Drosophila melanogaster: one gene and its partner. The protein of the gene in region 1 purifies or fractionates together with the protein of each later gene. This does not show direct contact. Each region holds a gene or a part of one and is shown on either strand. Other genes may lie near its edges. The genes, in order: Ge-1 and DCP1.

Region 1 (7,905 bases):
ATGTATGGATTTGGATTTATGGATTTATGGATATAAATATATTCATGTTTGCTATTTTCTTGTTTAACTTTCAGAAACACAATGTCTGTGCTACGTGTGGCTGCAAGTGCTTGGAGCGCACCTCAGAGCTGCTAGCCCTACTCAGCTGATTCAGACCTTGAGTGATGTGCATTCCTTTCAAAAATAATCTTACTTAACTTTCTTTCGTCTGTGTGGATATCAAAATAGTTAGGTGTTTTTTAGTCATTAGGCCAACAATTTTTGTACGATTTGCATACCATTGAGAAATATATGACCACTTACTAGCCAAGCTAAGGGTAAAAGCTTTATGCAACTATACACTTAACCAAAATCATATGGTTACGATAATTCAAAAAGAACTGTTTCTAGATTTTTTCAAGTACATACATTTATTCTTTTTTATTATCGACTTTTGCTTTCTGTTTTTTTTTTTTTTTTTTAGCTTAAATTCTACGATTTACTTGTAGTTTTTGCATTTGCAATCTAATAATTTTTTTGTTTTGTCCGTCATAATAAAGTTTGCTTTAGTTTTGAAAATAATTTTTAAATAAGTTTCTACAGCTCCTATTCTTGTTTTTGTGTGTTTTCTTTTGTTCATTAAGCGTCATAAAGATAAAAAGGAAAATAAAAGGAACGCAAAAATAAAATAATAAAAAAATATATTGCAATTTAGTAGGCGAATCATTATAAAGATAATACAATTTTGATATAGCGACATAAACATTAGATATACGGCCTTACTATAAACAAATCACGCACAAAACAAATAAACAATAAAATGAAAGGCATAGATTCAATTTCAACTTTTTAAGGGATGAACTTAGCTGAGAGCTTTTTAGCATACTAACTTCTTTTTGGACTTAACTACAAGCGTGTATTTATAAATGTGTTTGTGGTCATAGATTAACTATCTTGGATGGGGATCGGATGGGTAATCTATCAAAACCAGCCACTGGCCAGGTTATAGTTCTCTTGATATCATTTTAGCTGATCGCGGTACGTTATGATTGCCTTCATCAGCAGACGGACGTTGCTGAACTGCGAATTCTTGGGGCTGTTCTTAATGAACTGCTGACAATTGCGATACAGCTCGGTGAGCACTTTAGGAGCGTGCTCGCGGGTAATGGGATCTGCCATATTGATGGCCAACAGTGCCTCGTTGAGATATCTACAAATGAAAAAGGTACATCATCAATGTAATTCTTTGTAATGTTTTGTTACTTGTTTAGTTCTCCTAGCTCACCTCTGCTTAAGCTCATTGTGATTGGTCATGTCAGCGGATATTTGCTGAATGAGCGACAGTAGAACCTTTTGCTCCAGTCTGCATCCCTCTGGTGCGAATGCCTGGTTGCTGTCCGTGTGTCGGAGAGTGAACTCCACTAGGCCCAAGTCGTTGGCCAATAGAGCCTGATGGAAGGCCTTGTTGATTTGTCCAGCCATCAAAAGCTGCTTAATGCTGTCCCTGAGGTCGTAAGGTGGTGCAGGCGTAGCTGCCTGCGAACGCATTGCCACGTTCTGGGCTTCCATGTGCTTGCGTAGCTCTGCTCTGATCGTTTCCTGTACCTGACGCGCCAGCAAAATCTCTAAGCTCTTCACTTCTCTTTGTGTCTCGAGCATGGCGTCCGTGAGTTCAGTGCGGTGCTTGTGCAAGCTGCTCTCTACCAATTGCTTAAGCATGGACAACTTGTTGTTTATCTCCTCCGTATTGCCACTCCCGGCTTGGGGCTGTGGCATGTGCTGCAGGTAGGTGTTAAACTGGACCATAACTGGAATTCAAAAGAAGGAGCTTTATGTATCCATTATGATTGTAATGATTATATACTAACAGTCTTTTATGCCCACGCTGAAAGCGTCATGCAGTTGTTTAAACATGTTCTGCGAGGACTTCTCATAAGCTGGAATCAAGGTGCTGCTCATAGATTCAATGAAGGCGGTTTGTAGGCTGGTTTGAACACCAATCAACACGGACTTGCCAAAAGTATCCAGAAATTGCTAAGTAATGAAAAAAAAACGCTTAATTATAAGCATTTATAGATGGACTTGCAGATTACGTACCTTGCTCTTGCACACCTGGGCAATATTCTCCTTCACCGTTTTGTCAAACACACTCAGCTTCTGCACAATCTCCACTTGCATTTGGGCTTGGAGCTGATCCATGTTGGCATTCACGCGAGGAAGCAGTTGGCGCTGCAGTTCCATGTTGAGAACGTTGCCAATAATGTCCGTAAAGTGGTTCATGACATACTGATTTAGTACCTGCAGCACGGAGTCACGTAGCTCTCGGTTTTGGCTCTCACTGCAAAAAGTATTCACTTGGATTGTGCCCCGGAAAATTTGTTATATGTATCTTACCGCGCCGCCAAGAATTCCGTCAGTTTCTTCTTATGCTCGTTTTCATATCGCTTGAGATACTGCTCCATTAGCTTGGACAGTTGCATCTCAATTTTATATGCTAGCTGACTAAGATTTTTAGGCTCCAATGAAGTGTCTTGTTTGCTATGCAGGGCCGCCGCCGCTTCTTGCTGCTTTTGTAGCTTGTTGACTTCGTTCTCCAATTTGTTTATTTGTTTGGACTGGGCTTTTACTAGATCTGCAAATAATTTATGTGAAATTGTTAGTATTTGAAGTACGTTACGCCATCATGCCTCTTTTAATATAAAATATTTAAAATTTCTGATTGAAGATCACAACCACTTACCTATGAGTAGTTCCATTTTGGCATTTAGCTCTCCAGTTCCACTTGAATCAACGCATGTTCCGCCCGCGTTGTTGCTGCTGCTGGTGTTGCTGGTGCTAAGAGTTGTAGCCGTGTTGTTGTTGCTATTGCTGCCTACACTTGTGTTATTATTGTGCCCTCCACCTAGCGTAGGCGGCACATTGCCATTGTTGGTGTTCTGCACCGCCTGGGACATGATCTGGGCAGCATTCTGGAGCTCAGCTGAGTGGGATGACAGCTTGACAATGGGCCATGTTCCGTCAACAGCTTCCGGGAGCGGTGATGAATTTGCCAGCTCTTCTTCCTCATCGTCATCATCGTCGTCCAGATTCTCTAGCTCTGCTTCGTAGGCATCGGCATCGTCCTGTGTGGCCATTATCTCCTGCACCTCTCGACTCGGACTCGAACTGCCGCTGGCCAAGTTCTCAGCCACATTCCGCTCTGGATTGCGATCAATTGCAATGAACTTCTTGCGAGCGTCAAGCTTTTCCTTCAGCTTTTGTTGCTCGCGATCTTCGATTAGGGTGTTGTTCATTAGGTTGAGGAGTACCTCGGCATTGGGGTTTTCGGAAGTCTTGGACGTTACCGTGGCCAGCATTCGTATAGTTTGCAGAACCGCTGAATCAATGGATCTATCCTGACCGCTGGTGGTGGTAGAGCTATCAGTTCCTATTGAAGTTGTGGTGCTGGTAGACACAAATACAGCTGCTGCCGCTGCGGTTCCGCTTGCACTGAAGGCATCTGGAGTCATGAGATTAACCTGCTGCGTATACGCGCTGCTTAGTTGCGGGGACTCTGACTTGGCCGCCTCCTTAGTGGCGTCCTGCAGGATGGCCGAAGGTGCCGCAGCCGCGGCTGCCGCCACGGCCACCATGGCAGATGAACTGCCCGTTGAAGCTCTCTTTGCGGATTTTGCGAATAATGCATCCAGCTGAACAGCACCCACAGTTCCACTGTTGGGGGATTCCGGCTCCTCTTTGATTAGCAGATTGTCTTCTGGCGTCTGTGATCGCTTGCTGTTTAGGCTGCTCCGCTCCGTCTTTTCAGCCACACATGGCTGGTAGATTATTTGACATTCCTGCAGGCTCTTTGCCTGCACCACAAACATGTGCAGCACAAGGGCACTGGTGGAATTGGAATCGTCATCGAAGTCATCGGGCTCCTCAATAGGATAGTAGCTCTCGATGGAGTTCTTAACGCGACGCATACTAGCGTTTACAATAGAAAAAGAGAGAATCCCCGAACTCAGCTTGAATTCGGCAACATTCTGAATGCGTTTGGAAGTGTCGCAGCCTTCTCCTTCGCTATCGCTACTCCTATTCTCGGAGTCTGCGCCGCCAGTACTGCCAATCTGCATTACATACACGGCCAGAGAGTCCAGGCAAGACAACACCAAGTAGTTCGCACTGCGATCTATGCCCGCGATAAAGTTTCTGGGCTGCAAAGATGACGGACTGGCCACCACATTGATAGTTTGGAGGCATTTCCATAGCGAGCAGTTCCAGAGCTTGATTTCGGTATTGGCATCGCTCGTAGTGATCACGTGCTGCCAGTAGGATCTAATGGGAAAGTTTAATATAATAATTATATTTAATTATTATATAATAACTACTTACTCTTCCACAGGCTTGTTGATATTGTCGAGAAAAAAGAGAGAGCAGACTTTTTTGCCATCATGTGGCTTCCACTCGTGCAGGCAGCGATGGTTGCGCACATCGAACAAATAAATTTGGTAGAAACGAACCAAGCCATCGGCGCAAGCAGCAGCCACAGTGGTGCCATCCGGGGACAAAGCGGCGCACGTGATCAACGAGTCCTCCTCAATCTTCAGATATCCAGATTCTAGGGCTGCTGGTTGGATCTTGCCGCGCTGTTAAGGTAAATGCCATTAATGATATGTTTGGCGCTGAACATTAGCACAAACGAACCCCATGTTCAGAGACAATCATCTTCACTTGAAAGCATTGAAATTGAGAGCTTCGCGACCAAATGAGCAGCTGATTCTCATCGTCATCGTCGTTGATTGGAACGGTGGCGCTGCTGCTGCAGACATAGGGACACCAGGAGACCATATCGTACTCCGGCACATAGTTGGCGATGGGGTCCTCCACCTTTAGCACTAGATTGCACAGCAGGTTCCCTTCGATTTGATCGACTTTGTAGACAAACAGCGAACTGACATCGATCACAGCTAATATACGCTCACAATCCGTATGGGCAAACTGCAGATCTAAGACCTCGCCGCTCATTCCCTTGATCAAGGCTCGCATACTGGTGGCTATGTTGCATACGCGCACCATGCCCTCCATTCCGGTGGCTTTGTTGTTGACTGGGAGCACAATGAAGTTATTATACAATAGCTTTTAAATTAATTTTAAAATTAACACAAGGTAAATGGGTTCATAAGTATACATAATAATTAAACCATCATTCCCCGGAAGCTCTGTAAAATATTGATTGGGACATGATTCCCATCGATAAATTCAAGAATCATTCCTTTTTTATAAAACTCAAGAATTGCGAGAAAAAGTTGTCACACATAAATAAAATCTAATTGGTCAAGAAACTGCAATGGGATATAAATTACTTACCATTAATGGCGTACGCCAGGTGCTTGCCATCGCGGTGGACAGCGACCAGGTGACCCGGATAGTAGTACTTGCGCTCCCACTTGTAGTCGACGATGTTCTTTAGCTTGACCTTGGAGGAACCGCGTGTGTGAACGCCGCCGGATGTGAGGACCTTGGTCTTATTGGATCTAATAACGCGGCAACACTGCTTCTCTTGCGCTTGGAAATGGCTGTTAGGCACAAAAAAAAAAGAATTAATTAAGCAAGGGCCGTCTATTGGATAACCGGTGATACGCACATGACTTCTATTTCCTGGGGCTCTGCCGCATTGCCGTTGGCGGCAATCGGCTTGTCCTGTTCGGCGCTGTTGCTCATCCCGGATGCTGCGTCAATGGCTGAAGCAGTAATGCTGATGCAGGCGTCTGCTGGCGGTGGATGGTACGCGGTACTTGCTTTGCCACACCTTGGCGACCGGTGGACAGACGGCGGCGGGGAGGAGGAGGCTGACAAAGGCGTCTTACGAAAGATTGGCAAGTGTGCAAGCGCGAAGAGCGCGATTAACATTGACACATCGGCTGACTGCAGGTGGGAGGATGATACGGCATGGGGGTACACATTATTAATTTCGCCAGTTGATGAACAGCAACGACTCGCACACCAACCTGCCCTATCAATACGCAGCAGTCGAATGGTCTCCTTTACTCCTGCTAAATGCACCCAGCCGGTACTTGGTAAAACTGGCCTCCAGCAATTGATCGTCTACTTAGCGAAACTAAACCATTTAGTTGGCTGCTTCTCGTAAACTCACAAATTTTCGCAAAAAACTTTTTTTTTTTTGCCGCAAAACCATAGAGGTGTGTAGCGGCGTGTGCTAGGGCAATCGATGGACAGCGTCTGTTATCGGCGACGCGGATGCCAGGGATGGACGCTCAGCGAAACGTTCTTTCGAAATCAAGAAAACACGTTTCGGTTGCACTTTCGTTTTATTGCATTTTAACATCAACTTAATACATTTATCTTTATTCATAGAGATGTATATCCATCAAAACAATACACATTGATTACGCAGCGACGTAATAATATGTTTACATAGTGTTTCAATATCACTTTTTCTTTTCATATTACATTTTGTTTCGTTTCTCTTGTGTGATTGTGTGTGGTGGTAGGTCATTGAAAATGTTTAACAAGTTGAAGAAAAACTCATATATCTAATGGTTTAAATATGCAAAAGATGTGATATATGCCGGTATGTCTGATAAATTCAAAGTTAGCATATACGTACAGAATCAGTGGTCCGAGTAAATCAAATTTGTCTCCTGTTTCGGTAGAAAGAAATTTTGGTAATTGTAGATAATATCAAGTGTTATTGTGTTTTATCGTGTACACTATACAGATAGAAAATATATTAAGATGTATATATTTTTTGAAAAACCTAAGCTAAGCTTTCAAGGAAATGAATTTCTTTATCGATTTTTTACCTTTCACTTTTCTAATACTTAAACATTAAGCCTGGCTTCTTTTTAGGTTCGTTTTTTGTAGTTCTTATTTTTGAGTTAATGTTTTTTTTGTGGTTTTTAATTTTCATTGCCGGAATGAATAGAAGGGACATTTTCGAGGCATACACAAAACAGTAATAAATAGCAAATGGAGAAGTAAAATGTCTTCGCAGCAGGAAATATTACACCTGGGATTGGACCACTTTGTGGCAGTTTCATTAATCACTAGGGTGAGGGTGAGATACGGAGTGCGGAGTGGCTGTCAAGCGAAAGAATTGTGTGTCATTTACTCGTAACAATTAGGAGAAGCGCATATACATATATCTCTAAATATACATATACATACATATATAAATCGATCTGCATAAATATCTATAGAGGCGGCATTATTGTTGTTGTTCTCGCATGATTTGTTTTGTGTTCTTGAGATTTAACTAGCCTACAAATTAAATTAGCAACTTCAATGCATAAACGGACGAGCTATCAGATCCATCGCTGGTGTTTCTACCCGCTTAAGACTGAGCAAGCTCTTGAGTAAACAAATGGTAGTTACATAGAAGCTGTTGGAACTTTCAGATCTGGCGAATATTTATCTGCAGACTGTGTAAATATTTTCACAACGAAATTTTACGAGCCTACTCAAAGATTTGCCCAGTCTTATCGTTGTGTAAGCACCTCGAATCGTAAATTGTGCTTGCAACATACAGAAACAACAAAATAAGTGTTTAACATAAAGGTGAATCGATTTCTTTCAGTGCATGAACAAATGAATTAATACTAATAGCATGAATTCATTTCAGCTATTTGCCTTAAATCCGAGGATTTCATATTAAACTTGGTCGTTATCAATTTTTTCTCCGTTTTTGGTAATTTCAATTAGTATTCAAATTTAAGGGAAACTAATTCGTAGTTTTTCTGAAATCTTACGCCCAATATGTATCTAATGCAGTTTAATGTGCAGAAAAGAGGGAAATATACTAATAGCTTAAAGAAAGTATAACAAATTATAAGGAATGTTAAATTTTGGTTCGAGACACTTAAAATGGTCGCAAAAATACACACACAGGCAAACGAAAGTCACATATCGCCCAAAAATAAATCG
Region 2 (4,254 bases), on another chromosome or scaffold:
AGCCGAGCAAGCAGTACAGCTCGCTGGCTTTGATCAACCCCACGATCGCCACCACCGGCGACTACAAGTGCGTGGTGCAGACCTCGCTGAACACCTTCTCCAGCCACCAGAGGGTTCAGGTCATAGACCTGAGGAACTACACCCTGGAGCTGTCCCACAAGACGATCCACAATGAGACGCAGCTGAACTGCACCGTGACGAACGTGTATCCCAGGCCCACCATCACGATAATGTAAGGACGAGCGCCTGCCTTGTCGTAAGACAGCCTTGTAGTAAACAACGTCCCAACTCAACTCCGCTCCTATTACAGATCCAACGACATGGACGTGGTGAAGCGGGAGCCCATGGTGTACGAGAACGAGGAGGGATACTTCGATGGCAGCGCCGTGGTGGCGGCCTACGACACCGACGACGATCCCGATGCCTACCAGTGCGTGGTGTCCTTCGAGGGATACGGCAAGAACCTGACCACGGTGGCCACGTCCGCGGCGGCGGGCAGGAGCCACGTCGACTTCAGCCTGTGGCTGTTTTGTTTTCTGTACTACCTGCTCTGCAAGCTGAAGGTATTGGCCTAAATAAAAGCGTTGTTATTTATTGTTACTAAATTAATGTTTATTGAATTCTGTTTGCCATTCAACTACCTTTTCTACGCCCCTTCGGCCTAGTTAACCATTTTGTAAATAAATACGAATACTTCACAAAACCAACTACGTTAGTTAACTCTTAAGGTTGCTCTGGAAATGGATGCCGTCCTTCTCCGGCGGGGCTTCTAGATTTTAAATCTACGACTGCCCTTGTCGGCTTACAGCTATTACATTTTGTAAATTAACTCGGCTTGAACTCGAACTCCATGCGAACAAATGAAAATATGGGCTGCAATTCGGAAATGTTGAATATTTCTGTTTATTGATATGTGGAGCTGGAGTCCAGCAGTAGATTGGAACAGCCGTTCAGGTAGGCCTTGTGCAGCTTGTTGGCAAACTCCTTATCGTTCTGGATAAGGTACGTGAAGGCCTGGACGAACTGCGTCGAGTTCAGCAGTGGCTGCTGTGGCTGCTGTGGCTGCTGTGGCTCCGGATTGCCGTTGTTGGGCGCGTCGAACATGGTGGGCGGCATGAGGGCCGGCCCGGGCTTGTCGCCAGCCAGCAGTCTCCGCAAGCACTTGCCGGCATCGTCGTTGGCCATCAGCGCCGACGAGGACGGGGCGACTGTCGGAGATTGAGCCGTAGCGTAGCTTTTACCGATCTTCAGGTCGCTCAGGAGCTGAATGTTAAGCTGCTGCATCTTCTGGAAGGGCGACAGCCGGCTCTCGTGATTGTCCCTGCCTGCCGGGGGCAACAGATCCTCGCCAGGCGTGGCTGCCCGCTGCTGTTTCTCCAGCTGGTCCACGGAGAGCGGCTGGACGCGGTGGAACAGTGACTCTGCCGTGGCCTGCTTGGCCGATTCGAAGAACTTCAACACATTGCCGGCCGTTACGTTCTCCGCCGAAGGCGTCTTCGGCTGCCCGCCGCTCACCTGGGCATTGTAGTCCTTCTGGGCCTTGGTCAGCATGTTGAATATGCTGGCCGGCTGGCTGCTGTCCTGCTTTGGCTGCTGGGGCGCGGAGACGTGACGCTGGGCCTGGCCATTCGTTCCCTGATCCTTGGACTTGAGCAGCCCGTTCACCAAGCCGCTGATGCGGTCGCACTCCTCGCTGTTGTAGAACCAGAAGCCGCGGATGCGCGAGCGCTCGTTGCGGTAGAGCAGGAACGGCGGCTGCGACTGCAGCTCCAGGCTGCCGGTGATGGGCTCCACGAAGGACGTGGTGTTCAGTCGGTTGTTGATGAAGATGCTGTGAAAGGGCTCCGCGTTGCGGTGGTATATGAAGAAGGCTCCCTCCACATCGGTCTTTTCCCACTCGTTCTGCGACGAGTTGAACGTGTAGAAGGCGACGTGCGAGGACGAATCCACGATCTCCTTGGCGTACGGGTCGATCTTCTTGATGGCCGCCAGGTTCATTCGCGTGATGCTCTCGTCGGCCATTGTAAATTGTATGTAATCTTCAGTTTTGGCTGTGCTATTGCGAATTGCAATTATTTGTGAATTTAACGGCGCTCTGGTCACACTGCCCCGTGGATGTTTTCCCGTGTTTATCAACGACTGTGCTGCGGTCACACCGAATGACAATAAACTCTTCCTTTTGTCTATTAATGATTTGTTTGAGAAATATTAAGTCGATTGACTTGCATATAAAAATGGCCACAATTGTACGTAATAATATTTCTCAATTATGTAGCATAAACATTTAATTTATGTTTACTAATAAAATTTTCAACTTCGATAGCATTTCCATTTCAATATATCGATACTGAAGACCAGCTCTAGAAACTGGCGGGAACTAATTGCATTGCAATTTGTATTTATTTGAACACAGAATTGCCACAAAATGCAAAAGTCTATAACGTAATTTACGATTTAACAAATGCTAAGTATTGCCAATCTAACAATCCCCCGTTTCAGCTCCTTCTTCAAGAAGAAATCCGATGCCACCGACAGCCCCTCGCCGCCCAAGAAAGTTCCTAAGTAAATGGTGCCGCTGTTTTCTTGTTTCATTACTAAATTCCTCGACAAATCATAGGATTGATGCGAAGACCGAACTCCCAGATGAACCCCACATCAAGAGCGAAAGTGCCTCCCCGGAAACTAAGCCCAAGGTAGAACCTATGTCTGTGGATTCCGAGGAGAAGACAAGTCCGGTGAAAAATGTTAAGAAGGAACCAAAGGAAGTCGATGACAAGACCACTGACAAGAAGGTCACAACCATAGGTCTCAACTCCACTGCCGCTACTAAGGAGGATGTGGAAAACTACGATCCATCCGCCGACTCCTATCATCCGCTCAAGAATGCCTACTGGAAGGACAAAAAGGTGTAAGTAGTGCAGGATTTTGAGCCTCCAAGGCGAATTATATCAAAGGAAACACTTTCCAGCACTCCCTACTTGGCACTGGCCCGCACATTTCAAGTAATCGAGGAGACCAAAGGCCGGCTCAAGATGATCGACACGCTGAGCAACTTCTTCTGCTCTGTGATGCTGGTCAGTCCGGAGGATCTTGTGCCCAGCGTCTACCTCAGCATCAACCAACTGGCGCCCGCCTACGAGGGACTGGAGCTGGGCGTTGCCGAGACCACCTTGATGAAGGCCATTTGCAAGGCAACGGGGCGTAATTTGGCTCACATTAAATCGCAGACGCAGCTAACCGGGGATCTGGGCATCGTGGCCGAGCAGTCGCGCGTTTCACAGCGCATGATGTTCCAGCCAGCGCCTCTGAATGTGAGGGATGTGTTCCGGAAGCTACGCGAAATAGCCAAGCTATCCGGTCAGTCGAAAATGGACCTGGTGTACAATATGTTTGTGGCCTGTCGATCGTCGGAGGCTCGCTTCTTTATCCGTTCATTGATTGGCAAGCTAAGAATTGGCATTGCAGAGCAGAGTTTGCTCACAGCGCTGGCCATTGGTTTGGTGAAAAAGAACCACATCGATGATTGCAAGGCTAGCAAGGTGCCGGATGTGTATAAGGATGAAATAGTCGACACCACTTTGCTGTTGAAAACTGCATACTGGTAAGAACTAACTTAAGAACCAGCTAATAATTCAGATGCTAACGAACTTTTGCAGTCAGTGTCCCAACTACGATATCATTATACCGGCCATTCTAAAGTACGATATTAAGGAGCTGCAGGAACGCTGCCCCATGCATCCCGGCATGCCGCTGAGGCCCATGCTCGCCCAGCCCACCAAGGGGGTCCATGAGGTATTTGAGAGATTCGGCGGCATGCAAATCACCTGCGAGTGGAAATACGATGGAGAGCGGGCCCAAATCCACCGCAACGAGAAGGGGGAGATCAGCATATTCTCGCGCAACTCCGAGAACAACACGGCAAAATATCCGGATTTGATTGCCAGGAGCACTGCCTTGCTCAAGGGCGACGTAAAGTCCTACATCATAGACAGCGAAATTGTGGCCTGGGATGTGGAGCGCAAGCAGATTCTGCCGTTTCAGGTGCTCAGCACGCGCAAACGGAAGAACGTTGATATCGAGGAAATCAAGGTCCAAGTCTGTGTCTACATCTTCGATCTGCTGTACATCAATGGCACTGCTCTGGTGACCAAAAACCTGTCGGAGCGTCGCAAGCTCCTGTTGGAGCACTTTCAAGAGGTCGAGGGCGAGTGGAAGTTCGCCACTGCTCTGGACACCAATGACATAGACGAAGTG

Evidence for each region.
Region 2: the proteins of Ge-1 (region 1) and DCP1 purify together in Drosophila melanogaster (affinity purification with western blotting; 4 studies listed by BioGRID). This does not show direct contact.

What each region holds. Positions count from the first base shown.
Region 1 is NT_033779.5:11,094,689-11,102,593, forward strand, and holds Ge-1 (Ge-1), read right to left. Parts: upstream 6,201-7,905; 5' UTR 5,872-6,200; coding exon 5,606-5,871; intron 5,538-5,605; coding exon 5,329-5,537; intron 5,067-5,328; coding exon 4,666-5,066; intron 4,608-4,665; coding exon 4,354-4,607; intron 4,297-4,353; coding exon 2,720-4,296; intron 2,612-2,719; coding exon 2,374-2,611; intron 2,318-2,373; coding exon 2,077-2,317; intron 2,014-2,076; coding exon 1,848-2,013; intron 1,788-1,847; coding exon 1,265-1,787; intron 1,190-1,264; coding exon 1,000-1,189; 3' UTR 462-999; downstream 1-461. Other genes in the region: Wdr59 (WD repeat domain 59), read left to right, coding at 75-149. UniProt on the Drosophila melanogaster protein: In the process of mRNA degradation, seems to play a role in mRNA decapping. Required for silencing a subset of endogenous miRNA targets.
Region 2 is NT_033778.4:23,888,171-23,892,424, forward strand, and holds DCP1 (decapping protein 1), read right to left. Parts: upstream 2,107-4,254; 5' UTR 2,023-2,106; coding exon 904-2,022; 3' UTR 594-903; downstream 1-593. Other genes in the region: CG5597 (uncharacterized protein), read left to right, coding at 1-232, 311-575; DNAlig1 (DNA ligase 1), read left to right, coding at 2,426-2,442, 2,500-2,562, 2,618-2,908, 2,969-3,601, 3,657-4,254.